Oreochromis niloticus: one gene and its partners. The protein of the gene in region 3 interacts with the protein of the main gene of each other region in a pairwise test. Links are inferred from orthologs where the notes say so. Each region holds a gene or a part of one and is shown on either strand. Other genes may lie near its edges.

Region 1 (8,350 bases), on a different chromosome or scaffold from region 3:
ACACAGAGTTTATACTGGAGTTGACTTTGTTGCTCTTTTGTATCTGTGTGATGGTGGTGGGGCAAAACTATAACTGGGTGAGCATCAAATTCAAACACCTTGACAAAAGTTCTAATTTCACTGGTGATCACTGCATGTGTTGCTCTGTTTTAATCGTAGAGATGGGCAACGTGGACATTCTAGCATCTTAGCAATGCTTTACAATTATTATTCATTTAAGCTTAAGATCTTATTTTACCCATTTCAGTGTTACACTTTGGAGACATTTTAGAACTAAAGTAATTAATCCATTCTAGCGTGCAACAGATTCTAGATGACTAAGATCACAAAATGTTTGCATCGACTTCTAATGCAAATGTTAGGTTAGTAAAATCGGACCTACCGTTCATGTATTTGGTGGCTGAGTACATGCAGATATCAGCTCCCAAAGCCAAGGGGCGCTAAAGGTGCACAAGAGAAACAAGAGTAAATCATTTCCTGAATTATTCCAGCATGAACTGGAATTTGATTGCAGAACGTTATCGAACTGTTGTTACATAATCAACAGCGCACAAAATGCACCGTGGGTCAAGTTTCACCTGGAAATACGCCGACATGAAGGTGTTGTCCACGACCACCACTATGTCTTTGTTGTGCTCATGGACCAAGTCGGAGCAGGCCTTGATGTCCACCACCTTCATCATGGGGTTGGTGGGTGTTTCAATCCACACCAGCTACGTAAGCAAAGAGATGATTTTACTGTATAAGTCAAACCAAACATGGGGGCGGAGGGATGGGGGTAACTTCCAGAAGAAAAAGAAAAATCATCCAATCACTTGAACTGCTGATTCACAATGACCGTTTCAGTTAGCTTAAAGCAAAAAAGACACGCCCTATTATGCAACATACAAGTTAAACCAGACACTAGTACAACAGCATGTGTTTATTTTGCGGATAAAATGGAAAAGTCTCCTAAAAGGTGCGCCCAAACACAACAAAACAAACAACACATGTTCTGAAATCTTCTGAAATGTAATTTTTGCTTTGACATACCTTAGTATTTGGCTTCAAGGCAGCCTTGAGCAATTGGGGTTTTGTGCAGTCAGCAAAAGACACATCCAGGCCGACTTCAGCTGCGATTCTTTGAAAGTAGCGGTTTGTGCCTTGTGATTAAAAAAATAAAAAAATCGCTGTTAATATCACTAAACCACATCATAAATAAGTAATCTAGGAAACAAGGTAACGTCTCATAGCTCAACGAGTTTGTTTTACACATTTGGCCAAGTTGCAAAGTGGTTTCTCACCTCCATACACGTCATCCATGCTGACGATTCCATCGCCTGCCTTGAGCATGTGAGTGATCGTCACTGTGGCCGCTAGTCCTGAAGCGAGAGCAAGGCCTGCAGGGAAAAGGTGTGAGAAGTTGTCAGAGCAGGAATTATTTTCATCATCATGTCAGAGAAGACTAAAATTGGAAGACTGTCATTTTTGAAGCATTAAACATTAAGTAAAATGATGACATGCTGTTTAAATTCACTGCTGCGAAATATGATTGGCTGACGTACAGTACTTTGCTCCGTCCAGTGCAGCGACGGCTTTTTCAAGGCAGTTTCTGGTAGGATTTCCACTCCGGCTATACTCGAAGCCCTACATCAACACAAGGTTTTTACATTTCCATCACCACGGTCAACATTTATAATACTTGCGTGCACCTGTTCAGACAGTAAGGGGATGCAGTTATTTAGTGGTCAGTGATGACTTGGTATGTGGCACTTTTGTTAAGTTTAGGTATTAAAAAAAAAACCCCACAGATATAGATATTTGACTTATTATTATTAATGTTATTATAAAATACTTTGTGGTTGGATTATATATATGGTGCAGGTACATACAAGCTGTTGCTTCTGCCTACACCCTTTTTGTCTAAAACATAGTCGGGTTTTTCCTTCTTTTTCCTTGATTTTGAAAAACACTGCTTGCTTTGCTACGATCAGAAAGATGTAAATGAAATGAAAAAAATAAGTTTTTTAATATTTGGAGAGAAAAAAAATTACCACTTCTAATGGAGGTGATGTGGGGCTAATTAAGAAAACCAAAGTCTTTGTAATGATGATTATGATGATTTTAAAATCATAGAAGCTGTGTCTTTGTGCTTTGTAATTTCCAAAACACATAATTAAAAGGACATGTTGGGATAATTAATTCCCTGTGAAATCAAACGAATGCTTTAAACAAAGCGTTTAAGTGGTTTGTGTGAAGAAAGCCATCGTTTCCATATCACGCCCTGCTCCCACCTACTGCACGTTTATGTTTAGATTCCATTGATCATTTACTGGTTCAAATCGGAGAAATGAGCTGATTAGGAAATAACCAGATGTTAGACCTGAGTGCAAAAACTCTAAAAACAAATGTTTAACTGGTAACGCATTACATATGAGGAGTCTTACAACTGTGAAACATTAAGCAATGAAAACTGACACTAGTGACCTCTGCCCTCGAGAATTTCGTTCCTGTGTAATGTCCTGCCTCTTTTTGTCAGTGTAGTGCTAGAAATCTGTCATCTGTTAGCCAATCAATGCCAGAAGCAATGAGAAGGAAAAAACGACTTTAACAATCTGAAACAAAGGAGATAATGATGTTAGAGCGGAAACAAAACATTATTTATCTAACACAGGCGGATTCTAGTCTAGACTCTCAGTAATGGATGGCCATGGGCTGGTTATCACACGCAGGAAGGAATTACAATACAAGTCGAGCTTCATATTTTGACTGAGGGTAGTTTCTTATTTAACAGAGTGCGCAGTCAGTCACATGAAGTGGGTTAAAAACACTTGAAATCACAGATTTTACGTTAACTTTACTTACCTAAAGAGGCATTCTTAAAATAATACAAGACACGCCTCCATACAGAGCTAAAACATAATAATAGTATAATAAGAATAAGAATAACCTAAAAATATACAAACATTTAGAAACCATCGGGCTTCATATCGTCCCTAACACTGCAACGAGTCTGATCCTAACCTGGCCTAAAGTAACTGGGTACTTACAGCGTGCTTTCCTGGAGAGTGCTGCTTGAACGTGGTAGAAAGGGAAATCGGCGGTACTACAGCCATAGATTTCCATTGCTCCGGCTCCTGACCGACGTGGATGGCATCTGTTGCAAAGGATTTATAAGCCGTGTGGAAACCGGCGAACAAATCGCTTTGTTCTTCTTTTTTGTTCGTGTTACTCATGGCAGTGCGCTCCAAAAATGACCACAGCGGGCTGAAGATGAGTAGGCATTACCCGTGCCCGGTAATGGTAAAAGACATTTAATGGAGCCGTGCGCTGCGCTTGTCGCTCGGAGCCAATCAGCGCTCGACACAAACCGCGGAGTGGCGCTGATTTGCTGGGGGTTAGTGGGCGTCCAGGCCACGTGGCCATGCACGTTGTTTACGCTGTTCGTCGTGATGCAATGTTTCCTGCTTTTTAAGTCAGGGTCCGCGCCTCTTTTTCCAACACGGTGGCTACTTTTTAACACGAATGTACTACTGCACGTTGTTTCCTTCTGGGTTTAGGATTCAGATATTTACCCAGAGACAGTGATTTATAAAAGCAACAGAGTCACTTTACAATAACACAGACTTGGGGGGGGATACTCGATTTTTCAGCAACCGCAATAAAAGTTCTTGTGTTGGTGGCACAATTCACAGAATCTGGTGCATTTTTTTTATCCAATCATATTTTTATTAGCGCTATTTTCTTTTCCTCTTTAAAAACATTTTTGTATCTGAAGCTGTGTTTCCAGGGGTGAACCACAGGGGGAGGAAGTGCTCTGTAATGACTTCTGAACGAGAACAGTCCGCTTTGCTTTATTGTGTGCAGTTTGTTGAGCAAATTCACACAATCGCGTGGAGTTAGTGTGGTCTCAAAGTGGAAACAACATCAAATAAATATAGGAAAATTTCTGGCTATTTGCTTTTTTCTTTCATGAAAACAACAAATGTAATCTTTCTATCAGAACTATCTTTTTTGGTGTAGTCACAACATTTTGGTGACAGTGAGACAGTGGTAACACGATAGAGGTGTTTTTGATGCAGATTTAAGTATTTGTTGTTGTTTTTCATTAATTCTTTTATGTATGGCAATGACTTAGCACGTAGACAGTGGGTGTGCTCTGGTATGGAACGATCTGTGGAAAAACAGAGGACTCTGTGCAGTCTGTGATTTAGTAGCTTAAAGAAGCACCTTTTGCAGCAGTAACTTGAAGTAATCGTTTTCCGTGTGACTTTATCAGTCTCTCACATTGTTGTGGAGGAATTTTGTTCCACTCCTCTTTACAGCGTTGCTTCACTTCATTGAGTTCTGTGTGCACTTGTTTGTGCACAGTTTTCTTAAGTTCCTGATACAGTATTTAGTCAACTTTGGGCCCTTGAACCACCTTGATTCTTTTCTTTTCCAGCTATTCGGCTGTAGATTTACTGCTGTGCTTGGGATCAAGCTGGACTCGTATTTGACTCTAAAATACTTTGGTTTACAGAGAAGTTCATGGTCGATGCGATGAATGCAAGGTACCCATGAAGGTGATGTCCAGGTGAAAATAAGTCCAATTCATCACCCCTCTGCCATTGTTGGTATGAGGTGTTTGTCCTGATATGCTTGTGTGTGCATTATTAAATTATAACATCTCCACTTTGGTGTCGTGTGTCCAAAGGACATTGTTCAAAAAGTTTTGTGGTTTATTTAAATGCCTAAGCTGTGCTGCCATGACCTTTTTACAGAGAAGAGGCTTTCTCCTGGCAGCCTTTGCAAATTAGAAAACCAACAGGCTCAACTGCAACCCCAAAAAACCATTTAATGGGAGCTGTGTGTTTCAGACAGTGTTAATGGAGCGTGTTGTTTTGTACACGTTTCAATGATTTAGGTCTGTGGTTGGAGTGCACTGCCAGTGTTGCATGCTGACAAACTATTAATTGTTACCACCTGTGCCTATTAGGGATTAGGTCCCGGTAGTGTTTTGTGGATGGCTGCGCATGTGCATTAGAACTGCTGAGGAAAGCCTTGTGCTAAAATGCATTTATTTTTTTCTTATTGTCTAGTAATATTAAAGATTTTATACATGAAATTGTGAGTGCTGAAGTTCTTATTCATAAGTTAATACTTCCAAACGAGTTATACTTGTTCAGTCTTCTTCTAATTGTACTGTCATGAACTTAAACATTGAATTTGTTAACCGAAGTCTGCAGAATCTGAAGAGTAGGTCTTGGGCTTTTTGCAGTTTCTCTGAGCATTGCACGGTCTGAACTGGGAATCCACTCTTGGAAAGACTGTTGCATTGTTTTGGTAAATGGCCTGTATTTATATAGCGCTTTTCTAGTCCCTAAGGACCCCAAAGTGCTTTACATATCCAGTCATTCACCCATTCACACACTGGTGATGGCAAGCTACGTTGTAGCCACAGCCACCCTGGGGCGCACTGACAGAGGCGAGGCTGCCGGACACTGGCGCCACCGGGCCCTCTGACCACCACCAGTAGGCAACGGGTGAAGTGTCTTGCCCAAGGACACAACGACCGAGACTGTCCGAGCCGGGGCTCGAACCTGCAACCTTGCGATTACAAGGCGAACTCCCAACTCTTAAGCCACGATTGCCCCGTTTTAACACAAACTGTGAAAACTTCTGCTTTTACACTTCCAGATAATCAGTAAATCAAGTCCATTTGATTAGTATCTGGCTGCTACTTACTCGCATAATTCCTGTGGAAGCAGAAAGGGTGTATTTAGTTTGAATGCACAGTCACATGAAAACTTCACGTGACTGTGACTACTGTAAACAAGATATCACCTTTGTTTTAGGAAACTGTGGACATTTCATGCTTTTGCATGTATCCAAACAAATCAAGCTGCTGCTGCTATGGCCTTTTTTTTGGCAAAGTACGCACTACAGTTTGAACAAAAATTCTGTAAATAAGGGCTTAGAGACCGTCGTGTTTTGTTTTGCTTTTTTCTAAATAAATTTATGACTATTTATGAAATGGAATCTGTCATATTTCTTGTATTTTAAATACCTTTCTTTTTTCCTGAAGCACCCATCATTGTCATAAAGAATTGATGTTCATTGTTCATTCAGGCTTTTGGCCATACACTTCATTCTAAATAATAACATGAAATAGATGATAAAATAATTACTTACAGTGGTGATAACGAAATGCATTCACTGAGGTATCTGGGTGCAATTTTAAGTACATGTTTATTTCTGTTCTTCTTAGTATAGATCTTCCACTATAGATTCATTTGAAAGTTGGTATTCCTGGTTATTTATTTGAGCTATTCAATGCAGATGATCCACAGAGAGTATGCTACATGTAAGATTTCCATCTCCAGCACTAAACTGTTAAAGTTTTAAAGCTGAGGGCTGTGGCTGAAATTAACACTTCCATATAAAAACATTCAGCTGATGTACTATGTGGTCATTAAAATGTAGAACTTTTATTGTCATCAATGTACATTGATGTATTTTGTAGTATGATTCTGACCTTTAAAAAATTAAAGTACCTTAACATTTTACTGAATAAATAATATTTTATGTTGAATTTATTATTCAGTATATATTGCAGATCACGTTGGCAGATTACACACAGGTAAAAGACCTTAGTAAAATGCAGAAGACACAGTAATGCAGTATAAAAATTTAAAATCCAATAATGAGTGCAATAGGCTCCTTTTTATGAATAACAAGCATGCCTGTAACTCTTGTAACTCTACAAACAAACAGTGCAGTGTTAAATAAAAATAGCAGTTCCACAGCGTTAAATTATTACTTTACAAAGTTTTGTCCTTCATCCAAGTTTTTGTTTTCTGTAAAAACAAAAGAGAACAAGAGAGCAGACTAATATTTTAAAGTGATTTAGCATAAAGAGGTGGTAAGTACTGTACTGTACACACAGCTTTTATGAAAATATAAAACAAGACAAGCCCCTATGAGCAGACAGTTTTTACTATATACATAAAAAATATATTTAATTATTGTTGGGATAAACGAGAAAACACTATGTTAGCTGCAAGGGGGGTTGCTGGCTGTTTCCCATGTGTCATGTAAGTTTTAAAAAATCATAGAAAGTGTAACTCCCTTGGTGATATATTTTTGAATGCAGTGCCTTCATGCACAGTACATAATAAAAATAAAATATGTTTAGAATTTAAATAAGTTGCGACCTCCAGTTCGGCAGAATTAACAGCCTGGAAAAAGCAAAATTAAATTAAAAGTAATTTTAAAAAATGAAAGAGGAGCGAGGAAAGACTTTGCAGGAGAGAATTAATTGTAGTTTTTTGGTGATTTTTTTTCCTTTTTTGAGGAATTTGGTTACTCGCGAGTCTGAACGCTTTAAGTTACAAGGCCAAAGCTGATGGGTAGTTGATGTGTGTGGGAGTTGGATTTCAGTGTTCGTGTAGCTACATTAGATGTAATTTTAGATTAAAATGTAAAATATATGGCTCTTAAATTTGGACTCAACTCAAATACGTGAGTAAAATAATAGAAAACGTGTTTATTTTACACTACTGTAGGCTGTGTTTTGATAAAATAGGAGCGGCTTCAGTGAGTGGCCGGTAATAACCTTTCCCAAACTCTCGCGATAATACGAGCCGGAAGATATCAGCCGAAGCGTTCGTACAACTGGAGCCGCTTATGTTGTACTGCAGCCGTCGACAGTTTGGGGCGGTAGGAGGAGAGTAGACTATTTGTTTTCATAAGAAACCGGCACGAGGGGGGTGCTACTTGTTCGTCCTCGAGCAAACTGTGGTTTTTGCGTGTCCGTGGGAGAAGTAAGTGTTTTCATGTTGTGCAGTTTCCAGTGTTTGCGCGAAGACTTCCAACTGGCGAATCGCATCAGTTCGCCCGGAGGGTCATCGTCAGCGACGACACCCTCTGCTCCGTCAGCGTCGACCGTTTAGAAAATGACCGGAGAGAAGATCCGCTCCCTGCGCAAGGACCACAGGCCGAGCAAAGACGAGGACTTACTGGAGCCGGACGAAGAGGCTGCGACCGGGACGTTTACAGCCTCCAGGACGAACAACAAGAGCAGAGCGAGTAAAATCTTCAGCAACCACAAGTTAATCAAGTCTTCATCCACACAACAACAACAACAGCAACAGCAACAGCAGCAGCAGAACCAACAGTCCCAGATTAATGCTAACACCAACACACTGTCAACATCCGATGTTATCGATGACAACAACAAAAACCCCATTATCCGTACTGGGCAGGACTTTCCGGTGCACGAATGTGTATTTAAAGGAGATGTCCGACGACTGTCTTCGCTCATACGGACGCAGAATATCGCCCAGAAAGACGTCCATGGTGAGTTTAACAACTGCTCATCTCAGCTGCT
Region 2 (7,327 bases), on a different chromosome or scaffold from region 3:
AAGAACAATGTGTGCGTTTTTTCCATTCTGCTTCTGTTAACATCTTTAGTTAAAGCATTAATAAAAGACAAAAAACAAACATGTTTTGCTACCCATATTTTTGTTAACTACCTACCTTCACATACTGCTGATATCTTCGTTTTGTTCTCTACATAGAAACTAGAAAGACTAAAAGACCTCTTTAGCTGGCAGGCGTGTTCAGCAAGCAGTGGAAAGCAGCATATCCCTGCCCAACTTGTCTTACTTGTTTTGCAACCAAATACAAAGATATAAACCTACACTCACCTGGGGAATCTGGTGGAAACCTGGCAGCTCTGACAATAGTGGTTTTCCACTCGCTGGGCTCCCCAGTGGAGGTCATCGGTGCTAGGACTGAGGGAGGGAGCGTTCTGAGTCTGTCCTCCACAGAGATGGCAGGGCAAACAGTCCACCCAGGTGAAGAAGTCATTTTTGAACCACCTGAGCAATTCCAGCACCAAGAAGTCTTCTATTCCAATTTTACATTCTAAAAACAGGACAGCAAGTCAAAAATTTCACCACACACACACGCACGCACACACGCACGCACGCACGTTACAAATCCAAGTTTTCTGTGGGTGAAATTCTCTTACTTGGGTCAGACTCATTAGCCTCCTTCAGCTTTTGTTGAGCAGCAGAGTACAGCTCCTGGTGAGGGATCAAACTCCGGGCTTTCTGTTGCAGCTCAGGGTTTTCATAAAGCAGCACATGTTGGAAGTTTGTTTGAAGAGTCACAAAGAAGCTCATGCTGCTCTCCTGACACAGAGGCAAATAAACAGACAGGTCTCCAATGTGTCATTCAAGGAAGTGAATGTTGTTCAAGCGTTGTACAGGCATTTGGTGGAAACTTAAATAGTGCTATTAATAATTTCCTCATTAACTACTGAAACTATGATGTCCTATAACTTGAAAGCATAACTCCTATAAAGTCACACTGCTTTATTTTTTCAGTTCTCTGTCCACGTTGTAGAGAAAACATCCTCTCTACAGATCAGAAAACAGAAGATCCTTTCAAAATAAAAATAACAAAAAGAAGATCCTTTGTGTTTTTGGCTTATAGAGTGAGTCTTGTTATCCATAATTAATAACTGGATCACATTACTTCAGCTAAATCATTGTAAGATCTCCCAGCCCTGGAATGCCAGATGGCTTGGTCAGCTGTCCAATATCCATGGATGAAAATCCACAATGCAGTTACCAGCTAAAGTTCCAAATGGCTAATTTCTGTGTTACATTCTCTGTCCAAGGAGGGCTCTATGCTCTGTAAACACAGGATAGAGTTGGCATGACCCACTTTAATCAGGGTTTCTCTACCCTTTGATTCATCAATGAGAGTGTCTTTATTTACCACGGACGGTGGCTGCTGTGCTGGAGCCGCTGCAGATAGGTTAGACGCAGCACTAGAGCTTGTTGCTGCTGAGGCTGAAGCTGCAGCAGGAGCTGGTTGGACAGGACATCCCTCACGTAGCCTCTGATCCCTTTCTGTGGCAATAGATTCCCTGATGAGCTTCAGCTTTTCCACTGATGCAGACTTGGGGAAGACTAAGTGAGTCTCAGCCTGGCAAGAGGTAGTTTACTCACAGTTAAGCAAGCGAGAAATGTCCAAAGGATTTCTAGGCAAGTTCTACGCAGCAAAAATACGAGCTTGCCTCTATAATAGAAGCCATCTGGTACAGTAGAAATGAATAAATTACCTCCTCAAATCCCATCTCAAAGAGACACTCTACAGCACCTTTGACAGGCAACAGTTTTGTGGAGAAAGTTGGATTCCCAATGCGTATTGATCTGTATTTCTCTTCATTGGGATACCTGTTAGAGATGACATATAATAGTAATCATCTGAGGAATACTGACTGATACTGACCAATCGCACATTTACAGTGTTATCATTTAAGTTGTTTAGTATCTGACAACAGATATAATGTGCTTTGAATCCACTGTTTTTCTACAAGTGTCATCACAGCTAAGCAGACAACATATATGGATCAGTTCATCTCAAATTATCGTGGGCCTTCTGCTTCACTAATTGCCAATTTGGCTAAAAAGTTCATGGTTCCAAGTTTACACATGTACACTGATCACTATAAAAGTTTTAGCTTCATATATAAAAGTAATTTTCCAGATATCTGAAGGAACGTTTGAACATGAACATCTCAGAAACTATTACAGATATTTCAGAAGGCTACATAGTTGTACTTTACAATAACGCAAAACAAAACATGAAGAATGCTTATTTAAAAAAACTCAAATTCATAGTCACAAAAACTAGAAAGTTTTATTTTCATTCATTTAAATTTCACGATACAGTGACAGTTGTGACGTGTTGTACAACAAAAACAAAACAGTAATAGGCATTTAAATATACCATTCAAAAACTGTTATTCGTTGTCTTTCGCAATGGTAAGTTGTTTTTAGTGTGCTCAACATGGGGCAGTTCATATTTTGAGAAGCCAAAACTCAGACATGTTTTGATCCGTCTCAATTTACAGATCCTGATTTCACTTTTACAATAAGAGAGGCCACTTTGTGTGGGGGCGGGTTTCTCGTGTACCTTCTTCCTGACGTTGCTATCACTTGGTATACCTACATCTATCATTACAGCTGTCTTCCTTTTCTTGTCCACCACCACTATATCTCTGGTTGGTTAGCCATGAGCAGATGGTCAAGCAGAAAAATAAAACGAACAAACAAACAAAACCCCCAAAACATGATTTTCAGATTAAATGACCCACGTGCAAACCAAAGATGTCTATGGTTATGACACATACTTCTGTGGACATTAAGAGAAGAATAGCATTCTCCTTTATTGACACATGCACTGACATATTTAGCGTTCCTTAACCGTTACTGTCCTTGTAGCAATAAATCGCTTAATAAACGTGTAAATATATAAATGTATTTTACATAACCAAAAACTGTTTTCTGTTAAGTCATTTAAACCCATTTCAACAGTTATGCCATGATTTTCTAGGAGTCGGTGAGTGACATAAAAGCTAAAGGGCATTTTTTAACAGCTACAAGCGCACAAAACACCGAGGCTTGACTGCAGCTGGGTAAGCTTTCCTAGCGTTTCGTTACCTTACCTTATAATGTTGTCCGCGTATGTAAGTAACAACTTCGTGACATCTAAGAAGACTTCATTTGGATTCTCACACAATGTTGTGACCGCTGGTGAAACAGCCATCTTTATATTTCTTGTAAAAAAATGTAAAAGTCCTGTAAGTTTTCAATGCAACAGCTAACGCTAAGTAGCTACTTTAGGGTCCTAAAGGAAGCTGCCCCATCAGAGCCTGAATAAATGCTTGATTCTTCTGAAGGACTTAAAAATTGTGTTTGAATATTTGTGCCGTAATTATACATAATTAAACGCTTTTATATGTTTTCTTCCTGTGGTATTGAGTTAGTTTATTTTTGTTGGCCATTTAAATGGATCTGGCCTTTACTAATACTACCTAAATACAGCTGAAGACAAACACAAGGAAGGCATGGACACGGACATCATAAATAACCGCTAACTCTAGTCTGGTCTGTTCTGTAAGTTATTAGTTTATGTAAGTCGGTAATTTATATAATTTTATCTAAATTTCGTTTTTCCTCTGATATTTACAGTAAAAACTCCAATCCAATAAGCCTCAAGCTGTCAAAGCTTACACAGACAGCAGGATGTCTGTTTTTACGCTGTTTTGTTGGAATAAACTACGGTTGAGACCACAGAACATAAGGAATCTTCTGCACAAGAATGCCGGTGTTTGTCCGAATCAGGAGTCTAGGCACCACAGCTCTGGACGGCAACAAAGAAGGAGGGTTGTTATCACAGGAATAGGGTTAGTTTGTCCTCTAGGCACGGGCACTGCTCTGTCCTGGGACCGTCTGATCAAAGGTCAGAGTGGGGTAGTTCCCCTGGACTCAGAAGAGTACAGGACTCTCCCCTGTAGAGTGGCAGCTCTGGTACCCAGAGGAACCAAGGAGGGTCAGTTTGAAGAGGAAACATTTGCTTCTCGTAAGGAGATCAGTAGCATGTCATCAGCAACCGTAATGGCCCTTGGAGCTACTCAGCTGGCCCTGGAGGATGCAGGCTGGTGTCCCAAAAGCCCGGAGGAGCAGCTCAGCACAGGGGTGGCTGTTGGGATGGGCATGGTGTCGCTGGACGAAATCGCTCGTACCTCCTCCCTCTTCCAAGAGAAGGGGTACAACAAAGTGAGTCCATTCTTTGTGCCACGCATCCTTGTCAACATGGCTGCTGGACACATAAGCATCAAACACAAACTAAAGGGTCCCAATCATGCCGTGTCCACAGCTTGCACCACAGGTGCACATGCCGTAGGTGATGCAGCCAGGTTCATCGCTCACGGGGATGCAGTTGCTATGGTTGCAGGGGGTACAGAATCCTGTGTGGGGCCACTTTCTTTAGCTGGCTTTGCTAGGGCCCGTGCCCTCGCAACCAAATGGAATAACAACCCTACACTGGCATCAAGGCCTTTTCATCCAGAAAGAGAAGGTTTTGTGATGGGAGAGGGGGCAGCTGTGCTCCTGCTGGAGGATCTGAACCATGCAGTGAGTAGAGGAGCCCGGATCTACGCAGAGGTCTTGGGTTATGGGCTCTCAGGGGACGCGACTCACATAACTGCTCCTACTGTGGATGGTGATGGGGCATTCAGGTGACTCATTTCAAGGTTTTCTCACTTGATGATACTGTTAATTGTTTGGGGTTTTTTGCTCATATTAGTATTTATATATTTTTCAAATATACTGATAATCAGTAAAGTAGGGTAAGAACAAATATAATTACTTGATGCCATAATATATGCCCAAAGTTTCATAATTGGTGTTTATGAAACTGTGAATTTAAAAAACTGGATCCCAGATAGAAGGACAAAAAAATGGATGGGATGCAACAGGTACATATCAACCATGCAGTTCAATGTAACCTTTGTAGTCTTACTGAACGGGTGGGAGGTGTTGTGGTGGTTAGTACTGTTGCCTCACAACAAGAAGGTTTCTAATTCTGCCTAGGACATTTCTGTGTGGAGTTTGCAGGTTTTCCCTGTGTCTCCACGTGTTCTCTCCAGATACTCCAGCTTACTCCCATAGTCTGAAGACATGCATGGGGTTAGGTCAATTGGTAAATCTAAATTCACCGATGTGTGAATGTGTATGGTTGTCTATCTCTATGTGGGTTGGATAAGTGGAAGAAAATGAGTGCACATTAGACTATATGTCAGAGTTCAAGCCACATTTTTTAAAAATCAATTTAATCCAATTTTATTTATACAGCGCCAAATCACAACAACAGCCGCCTGAAGGCGCTTTATATTGTAAGGTAGACCCTGCAATAATACATACAGAGAAAAACCCAACCCAATATGACCCCCTATGAGCAAGCACTTTGGCAACAGTGGGAAGGAAAAACTCCCTTTTAACAGGAAGAAACCTCCGTCAGAACCAGGCTCAGTGAGGGGCGGGGCCATACTTGCCAACGTTGAGACCTCAGAATTAGGGAGACATTCAAAAGGGCTTTTTTGGGGGGGGGGTGCTATCTGAAATATAACCGGACACTGGTGTAAATTCTCGACCATCTGACACTACTATTTAATCAGTTTTCTGTTTGACGTTTATTCAGCTGTGTGAAACCCCCGGAGGAACCCTCCCGAGGGATTAATGAAGTTAAATCTAATCTAATAACTTTAATCTCAGCCAAACTGATTTACTCAGGAAAAAATAAAACACTGCAAAAAGCCAAATAATAACATTTTTAAGTTATCCAAGTGACTTTTATATCATGTTTAACCTGAGTAGCGAAAGACTGCGGAGGGGTTGAAAACGATGTGCCGGGAGTTCGCTGTTCTCGCTGGCTCAGATATTTGAAGTTTACACAGCTACATTCTCGCCTGAAAATATGTTAAAAGTTTATTTTGCGACTCAGAAAGAGCAATAAGAGTAATATTAAAACTAAGTAGCTGCCGCCATTGTTGGAAACTGGAATTGGCTGGGCCGCGCTATGAATTCTGGGATATCCTGATTTTCGACCTGAAAATCAGGAGAAATTTGGGAGAGTGGCGGCTCCGGGAGATTTTCGGGAGGGGCACCGAAATTCGTGATTCTCCTGGAAAAATCGGGAGGGTTGGCATGTATGGGCGGGGCCATCTGCTGCGACCGGTTGGAGTGAGAGAAGGAAGACAGGATAACGGACACGTTATTTTACATTCATACAGCACACTGTTCTATTCTGTACAATTTAAACACTTTATCTAACTCTCTCTCATCTCAGCCATATTAGAGTCACAAATTACATTGACACACGTCTTTGGACTACACTAATTGTAGGTAGGCTATGGTAGTGAACGAGATGAATATAGGCTGCTATGTAATCGTATATATACCTTGTTACCATTACCAAGTTAAAGTACCCGTGTTTGAGAAAGAGTTTTAAAATATCATTTTTCAGTTGATTTTGAAAATATTATTCTGGAAACAACCTCGAGTTTAAAACATCATTGATCAGCTGTGTTGTATGCTGATACATGCAAGGCACCAACACTAATGTGCTGTTATTTCTCATATTCAAATTGTGTGTGCTGCTTTTTTATGTTAGTCGCAAACACACGAGTATAAGATTAGATGATTTTCACATCAGTTACAATTTATAATTATCTTTATATTTTCCATTTTTAGACTACTGACATTTTGTTGCATCCACCTGGTAGCAGTATCTTAAAGGATGGATGAAGGGGCAGGAGAAGGGTACCGCCTGGGTGAGAGCCAGTGAACATGTTATTTTGCTGGCGTAATTAGTTATACAGGAAGCTTGTAGCTTTGTGCTTGGTGGTAAGGGGGTTTTAACAGGTTGAAATGTTGAAGATGAGTAAAGATTTACTTGTCATCCTATAAAAAATCTTTAAATGCCTGTGATGCTTTAAAAACACCAACAAGCCTGGACTGGTCTCTCTTTTCTTTATGTTAATTGATTTTTCTACCAGATGTTCGGGGTTGTTGAGTGATTCTGTTCCCTTAGCACAGCTTCTCTGTCTTAATGATATTATGTCCAGGCTGTTTATTTCCTGGAAGTATTCAGACAAAGGCAATTTGTGACAAACTAAGGTCAATACGCTGGCACATATTTTAAAAGTGTCAATCCTTTCATTGTAGCAGATACTGATGTAAACCATACAGTACAAAACTTGGATGTAGTCATCATAACATCATCTGTTAGTTTTGGACCTCACATTTTATAACTTGAACATTAGAAATCTGGCCTATACCATGAAGCCAGAAGACACTTTATATGGATACAACAGGGAGCCAAGTTATC
Region 3 (7,336 bases):
ACATGTATATATGTGAGCAGGCATTTTGGCACCGGAGGAAAACAGCCTGCAAAAGGGGGATCTGTGACAGCAGACAGGAGGAGGTGTCACTAGACTGGGGATCTGCAGCATTTTGATATTCCTATAATGAGAAAATCCAAATCCATCAACTCTCTTTAAAGACGAACAGGATGTCCTCGTCCGTCCCATAGCTGCGTCGAGCTTCCTCAAAGTTATTGACGCTGGTGCAGCACACCCCTAAAAACACACACAGATCTTTCAGCTCCAAGTTAAATAAATAAAAACACATTTATAAATAAGCTGCTCAAAGAGTGTACTCTGGGTCTGCTTCCCACTGTTAGCTCTATATGTTCATGGACTGCTATAAAACTCACAGGTGCCCGTACAGTGATTACCACCAGCCATGGTGCTTATACATAATGTCTCAACACCTGCTGGATTACCATGAAATTTGATCCACACCCTCATGTCTCCCTCTGGATTCATTAGAATTACTTTGGATTAGTGCTGGGCCTGAATATATTATGTTGACTATGCTGAAGCAATATGAGAGTGGACCTTTAGTAAGTGTACACCTTTCTCATGCACGACTCCATTTATATGAAACAACAAATAAGACTCTGATCAACAGAGTCTTGCTTACGGAAAAAACAATGACTTGTGAAACATGAACCATGTCTAACTCCAGAAACTGCACAAATACAGCACTGAACATCAAGCCAGGCAGCATAAACTTGTGCTACCAGCTTGAATTGACTCTGTCACTACTAAGGAGGATGAAGAAAAGACAGCACAGTTGCCCCACAAATTGAGTCCGCCGTTTAGAGGTTTATCTGTTTTTAAAAAAAGAAACCCACTTAGCTTTTTTTTTTTTTCTGCATTTCTGTCGTTCACCATGTGAGGGGTTCAGCTCATGCAGTGACATGGAACCAAGCAAGGCAAAGATAACAGAGTGCTCAGAGCTAACAGGTATTCTTCCTGATAACTGAATAATTCATACACCAGTATTACCATACCCCCAGTCCCCCCCCCCCCCCCCCAAAGGTTTGTTTATGTTAATGGAAACATTGACGTTCACGAATCACATGATGGCTGAAAACAGCTGCAACAAAAAGTGGCATTACACCAAAGCTGAAAGCAGAGCAGCTGCTGTTTAAGGACTGACTCCATCACTGTGTGCAAAAATGTAACCTTTCTTAGTCTAAGCCTAACAGTAGGTTTTATTTTAATTTTATCATTTTATCATATATATTTTATTTCTGAGGATTCCTTAAAAAGAACAGCTTACAGAACTCAAATTAAGAGGATTTTGCTATAGTGTTATTCATCCATCCATCTATTTTCTTCTGCTTTCAAATCGGTCTCTTGACCATCTGCAACAGGGCGAAGTACACAGTAAACGGGTGGGGGTGGGGGACCTTCTTGCTGTGAGGCAACAGCAGGATGATGGCCATCCTGATAATTCCAGTGTGACATGAAGACTTTAGGAGATACCGGCCTTTGAGATTTTTTCTTTTTAAGTGAATGGAATCAGGCAGCAGTTACTTGTGGTGCTCAAAACACCAGTGAGCACATTTGTGCACCCAGTATGGATTTGTGTGAAATATTAAAATCTAGATCAATCTAGAAGATCACCCGCAAACCTTGAGCCATCCACTTCTCTGGCAGCTTTTCTACAATAACTTCCACACAACGAGCAGTGTCATGACAGGTAAGGTTAAGGAGGATTCACATTTAGTAAGACTTTCTCTTACTTACCACAGATTAATTTCAGTTAGAGTTATAGTAGAAGTAGAAATACAAGTATACTCACGGTCAGAATACGCTGGGTTATTGTAGAAGATGGAGCCAGTGGTTCTGTTGAAGCCACACACAACCACAAAGTGACCCTGATAGTCCGGCTTCCTGCAGAAACACTTCTGACCCACGGGCATGAAGCAGCAGTATTTGACAGGCTGGGAGCACAGTTCACATGTCAACACCACAGCATTGACCAGCACTATGGCAACGTGGCCCTGCTCCAGATGAGACTGGATTTCCTGAACTGAAACAGAACTGTGAGAAGGCACACACAACTGAGGTCATATATTTATTTTAAGGTACTGAAAAAAGTAGGCGGGTAGATTAAAATCAACAGGAAGCTCACCATTTCTTCACCACCACACCTTTGCTCTCCGCTTTAAGGAAGAGCTCATTCACTCGGTTTTCTTCAGTATCAAAATGCTTCTTGTAAAAGGACTGTAAACAACAACAAAACATCATCAAGACACAATCATAGATAACTATCAAACTGTTCAAAACAGGCTAGAATTACACTGTTAGTTTGTTCTACATACCTGGTTTTTAAAGCCCTTATCTACACCCAGAGTCTGTGTACAAAAGCAGTGTTTGATTCCTAGATGGCACATGAGGTAGGCCAGGTCGATAGTCCACACACTTTCTGTCAGCTTCAGATCCCAGCACGCCCTCTGAAACTCATCATCGCTGACAGGGTGGAGGTACCTGCACATTCAAACAACCGGAGTGTGAATCCCTCACACAATGTCAAGGCACCTTTGATTTGCAATTCAGAAAAGAGCCTGCTGGCAGGCAGTGCAGGAAGCACTGCAGTCCGTATGGCAGATACAGTACATAGTGCAATAAAAACATGACTTCTGAAGGTAAAAACCTTGATGTGCTCTTACTTGAGGACCATCCTGGAGCAGGCTAAGCCACAGTCCCAGTGGTACAGCTGCCGGATAACAGGAACATCCAGCAGGACATCATCTGAGTAAACCGAGGAGTTACTTTCACACTTGAACAAAACAAACACTAGCGCTGTCACAAGACTGATTCACGGTTTCACTCACCTGTCATTCTGCTGGTTTCTTTCTCTCACAGACCGCCCGCTAACTAACTCAGTACCAGCTGGTCAGTCTTGTTTGCAGCAGTGAGGGCGAGGCTGGGTGCCCTCATCGATGCTAACTAGTTAAAAAAAACTAGCTCCCCGACTACAAGCGTCCAGGCTAGCACTATTTATCGCTCTGTTACCGATAAAACGCGCACAGCTCTGTGACTCACGCCGCTGCGAGGCGCACACACATAACTAACAAGAAAAACAGCAACAAAAACTCATTTTCAGGACGGTTTTCCGTGCCGACACTTCGAAGCGAAACGCTCCTCCGCTTCTGTGTTTACTCGCGTACTGAGACGCTTCTTGTGTTTGGTTGCGTCTTCAGTAAAGTTATACTGCCACCATGTGGTCTGGAGGAGACTTGAACGCTTCTTATGAAAACTCTATCGACGCACTTTCAGTACTATGTACTTGAACCATTGATTTGAAATATTTTTAGACAAACTTTAAGTATTTCAGGACTAATCCTACTATTCACTACAATTTCAAACGGACGATGTTTTTTTAATGTATACTTCTCACTATAAGTCATGTGATTAGAAGGAGACGGGAAATTCAAACGTCTTCAAGTGTTAAAAAATGTATTCATAGCAAAAGGAAAAAACAAAAAACAACCTCCCCCACCACCACACACAATTTTTGATGTAGAATATAAATAAAGCTATGAAGCTATGATTGGTGACATTATTGGGCACTTAGCAGTTTAGGCTACTTATGCTGAAAATCAGAGTGATTAGTATAAAAATAAATAATCTTGGATACATATAAATGTTTTCTATCGTAGAGAGGGGGAAATAATCATATAAGACAATCTGTTATAAATCAGTATTGGCTCATAAAATACACCATGTTGTGCCAAGATTATGGCATATATGAATGATGATGATTCCATGTTCTAATGCATTATACAAATACTCTGTAACTATACTCCCATTTATTTTCACACAATTACATGTTTTTCACTCAATTCATATTACTGAATACAATTACCTGGTAACTGATAATGCATTATTTTGGGTGAAACTACCCAAAAGTGCAAATAAATCAAATCAAATAATTTCCGCAAGCTGTAAAAGAACATATTAATGCATCAGTAATTAGTAGCCCAGTGCTATATTTCATTCTGAAATAGTTCAATCTCCATCTTTGCTGCTGGTATTATAATTATATTTTGAAGATTACACATTTATACTTTTACTAGTGAGTGTTTTGTAGCTGCTACTTAAATAAAAGCCAGAGTTCTTCCTCCATCACTGTTTATCCTCCTTCTTTCTATTTACACATTTTATGGTTTCAGTGAAGTACTCAAATGATGTTTTAATGTCACGTTTCATGAGGATTCCCATTTCTCTGTAGAGAAATGTTGCTCCTGCTACTGGGTTCCATAGGTGGTGCCCATTGACACCTGTGTTACAGAAAAACACAAACAAACAGACCAACATTTAACATCTTAGTCAGTACTAATTAAGTTCATCAGTGAAAGTGAAGGAGAAAAGTCCCTTACCGATGCACTGTCTGCATCTTCAGTGAGATGTGTTGTTTTGTGTCTGCTGTAAAGATCTCGTTTCCTCGAGCAAGTCACCAAAAACCAGTCAGCAACCACAGGCACCTGAAGGAAAATAGGCAAAATATAAAAAATCTGGTGTTTCATCACTTATACGGATGCTAGTTTGAACATTTCTCTTCTCACCAAACTGAGGAACGACAAGGCTGCACCCAAGTTCACTATGGTTGGAACGATGGAAAATCTTCCTGCCTGTAAGAACCCCAAACTACCGTAAGACTAAAGTAAAACCAAGGAAGGTTCTTGATAAAATCATTGCTGTTTCAAGATTTATTCAGGCCTCACAGTTCCAAACACAATGACGTCAAAGCGGATCCCGTAAGCTTTGATCAACGTTCTGGTTTCCTCTCCATCTGCTGTCTTGTAGTATTTAGCAAATCTAAAAGACAGAAGTTTTAGCAGTTCTTTTATTCAGCCTTATACATTCATCAGTAAGCATCTGTTAAAAAATAAAATAGTTTCACCTAAAGTTGTAACCAGGGGCCACATTGTTGACAGGGTGTTTGTTGTCCAGCCTCCGGAAGCTGTATTTAGGTAAACACTCCCCTGCCCACCAGTCCAAATCGCAGCTCCAGTCAATAAGAATACCAAGGATGCCCCCCTGTAAAACCAATCACTCAGTTCAGGTTTATTCAATTAGCACCTTTAAAATTAGGTTAGGGCTGTACAGATGTAATTAAAGACAACAATTAAAATATGATAGTCACTACAAAAAGTAGTGATTGGAGAAAAAACAATTACAAAGAATGGTATAAAACTAGTACACGCCTATGCCACAGTATTTTAATGACTGCTCGTGCTTTTGGCCTTGAAACTGAAATAGTAAAATGCGTTTTATTGTAGGAGCATAAATGCAAAAAAAAAAAAAAAAAAAAAAAAAGGTTAAATGGCCATTGCTAGGTGATGGGTAGGCAACCATGATCATAATATATATATATAGATAAGTACCTGTAAGGACCTAAAATTTGGTTGAAAACACCAACTATAATTGAAAACAGTGTAAGACTTACAATAATTATTAAGTTCAAATATGGCAATGCTGAATGAAAATGTTAACTTATAGCCGCTTTTCAGAGTTTAAAGAGACAACATTGTAAAACAATGTATCCTACAATGATGATGAAACAGCTACATAAAAATAAACCATGTAATGTTGCTCAACCACACTAAATGGAAAGCCAACAAAATAGCTTTAAGAGTTCAGCATTTCCAGCTGTTCTCAGCTCCTACGGCAGACTTTAATCGCAGCACAGAGCACAGAAGCTAAAAAGGTTTTTGCCTTGTGATCTGGGGTGACCACAGAGAACATAAAAAATGCATACATTACACTAACTGTGGGAGTGACTATCAGACGGGAGCCTGGGAACCTGAGGGCTGTACTGGCTCACATCCTGCTTATGAGACATATATACTGGAGGAAGACCATACAGGAACTTGAACAATGAATTCCAGTACAGAAAGACAACGATCATTCGATTCACCTTCACAGCCATGTCTTGAAAATCCTCCCCAGCCTCTGAGACAATATCCTTGAGTCTGAATATGGGACAGTGTGGGTCTGTGAGACGGCTGAATTCACACCTCTTCAGGTATGAGGAGTTCACATGAGGCAGTATGTTTCTTCTGGAGGAAGGAGGACAAGGCTCCGGTTTAATAGGGAAAAACTGTGACTCTGTATGTTTGCTTAAGCATCTACAGATCTCCCTCTTACATTCAAATGCAGTTCACCGACCTGTGAAAGTTGAACTTTGGGTACGTGATGCTGTTTTTGATCAACACGGTGAAGTTTTCTGCTGCAGCCAGCAGCGCATGCCTGTCGGGACATGAAACGACACATCAAGCCTCCACAACACTGCAACTAGTAACAAATATTCTAACATGGTAAATGTGCTCTTACTCAGGCAGCTTAGTGTCTATTTCAAGTGGGCACCATGAGAGCACTTCACAGGTCCGTGCAGTGGTGGAGTAGTTCTCACACAGTCCCGTCTGTATACCTGGGTGGAAAATTATTTTCATGCTGAGTTTTTGGTGCGTGAGGCCACAAATATTAAAGGGGCTGTATCATCAGGGAGGAAAGCCTACCGTTGCCCCGGGGATCACTGTGTCCCTCGACACAGTTGCAGTCATCCACACAAATAGTTGATGGGCTTGGAAGCTGCAGGAGAATCTCCAGTGTTAATGTGTACAAGGGAACGTGAAGTTAAAAATCCTAAATTAATTTCACAAAACATTTTTAAGCAATAATATGCAAAACAATTAAATAAATAAATACATTTTTAAATGCTGGATGTAGAAAATATGACACAAACTGATTAATTACATTTTTAAATTAATTAAAAATCTTTGTCGGAAGCTCTCAATTTAAAAAATTGTCTAGAAACTGTTTCTTTTTTTCAGGCTTTAAAGGGTTAATGCAAACATTAAAAAGTATTTAATACTTAACCCTTTAAAGCCTGAAGTTTCTTGAGTTTCTTGAGTTTCTAATTAACTTCTAATTAACTCAATTTCTTGAGTCTAATTAACAATTTTTAATTAGATAAGTATCCATTTGGCTATATGAGTTTTAATTTGTGCCATATTTCCTGCATCAGGTATTTTTGTGCAATTTACTTGTCGTGGGAAAAAAAAAAAAATCACACTGACGTGTAGAAGTCTCAAAAACTCACATAAAACATGATACACTTGACTTTAAAGGGTTTATAATCATATTTTTGATTTCTGCCAACTGAAAAACAATAGCCACAAAAATGTAGAAATCAAAAAAAAGAAGCTGTTAATACTTTACAATGACCATGTACTTGGCACTCTAATGGTCTTCACCACTGGTTGTGTGAGTTTGGCAAGACATTTCCAACCCTTGGCTCTGGGCCTGGTTATAG

Evidence for each region. The genes of interacting proteins can lie anywhere in the genome.
Region 1: the proteins of gucd1 (region 3) and cth interact in binary tests that used the Homo sapiens proteins (3 or more experiments, as listed by UniProt). The two-hybrid records come from large-scale screens. The link is inferred for Oreochromis niloticus from reciprocal best matches to the Homo sapiens genes GUCD1 and CTH.
Region 2: the proteins of gucd1 (region 3) and ngly1 interact in binary tests that used the Homo sapiens proteins (3 or more experiments, as listed by UniProt). The two-hybrid records come from large-scale screens. The link is inferred for Oreochromis niloticus from reciprocal best matches to the Homo sapiens genes GUCD1 and NGLY1.

Annotation. Positions count from the first base shown.
Region 1 is NC_031980.2:36,019,826-36,028,175, reverse strand, and holds the start of cth (cystathionine gamma-lyase), read right to left. Parts: upstream 3,309-8,350; 5' UTR 3,216-3,308; coding exon 3,030-3,215; intron 1,627-3,029; coding exon 1,545-1,626; intron 1,380-1,544; coding exon 1,284-1,379; intron 1,143-1,283; coding exon 1,033-1,142; intron 714-1,032; coding exon 579-713; intron 441-578; coding exon 383-440; intron 1-382. Other genes in the region: ankyrin repeat domain-containing protein 13C, read left to right, coding at 7,917-8,319. UniProt on the Homo sapiens protein: Catalyzes the last step in the trans-sulfuration pathway from L-methionine to L-cysteine in a pyridoxal-5'-phosphate (PLP)-dependent manner, which consists on cleaving the L,L-cystathionine molecule into L-cysteine, ammonia and 2-oxobutanoate.
Region 2 is NC_031985.2:35,798,550-35,805,876, reverse strand, and holds the start of ngly1 (peptide-N(4)-(N-acetyl-beta-glucosaminyl)asparagine amidase), read right to left. Parts: upstream 3,309-7,327; 5' UTR 3,203-3,308; coding exon 3,102-3,202; intron 3,072-3,101; exon of another isoform or gene 2,306-3,071; intron 1,828-2,305; coding exon 1,713-1,827; intron 1,577-1,712; coding exon 1,367-1,576; intron 775-1,366; coding exon 612-774; intron 506-611; coding exon 286-505; intron 1-285. Other genes in the region: oxsm (3-oxoacyl-[acyl-carrier-protein] synthase, mitochondrial), read left to right, coding at 3,682-4,676. UniProt on the Homo sapiens protein: Specifically deglycosylates the denatured form of N-linked glycoproteins in the cytoplasm and assists their proteasome-mediated degradation. Cleaves the beta-aspartyl-glucosamine (GlcNAc) of the glycan and the amide side chain of Asn, converting Asn to Asp.
Region 3 is NC_031977.2:6,600,201-6,607,536, forward strand, and holds the start of gucd1 (protein GUCD1), read right to left. Parts: upstream 3,367-7,336; 5' UTR 2,857-3,366; coding exon 2,850-2,856; intron 2,767-2,849; coding exon 2,685-2,766; intron 2,503-2,684; coding exon 2,337-2,502; intron 2,239-2,336; coding exon 2,147-2,238; intron 2,056-2,146; coding exon 1,814-2,055; intron 238-1,813; coding exon 146-237; 3' UTR 1-145. Other genes in the region: p2rx4b (P2X purinoceptor 4b), read right to left, coding at 4,266-4,298, 4,398-4,502, 4,584-4,649, 4,743-4,836, 4,922-5,058, 5,939-6,080, 6,190-6,270, 6,355-6,451 and 1 more.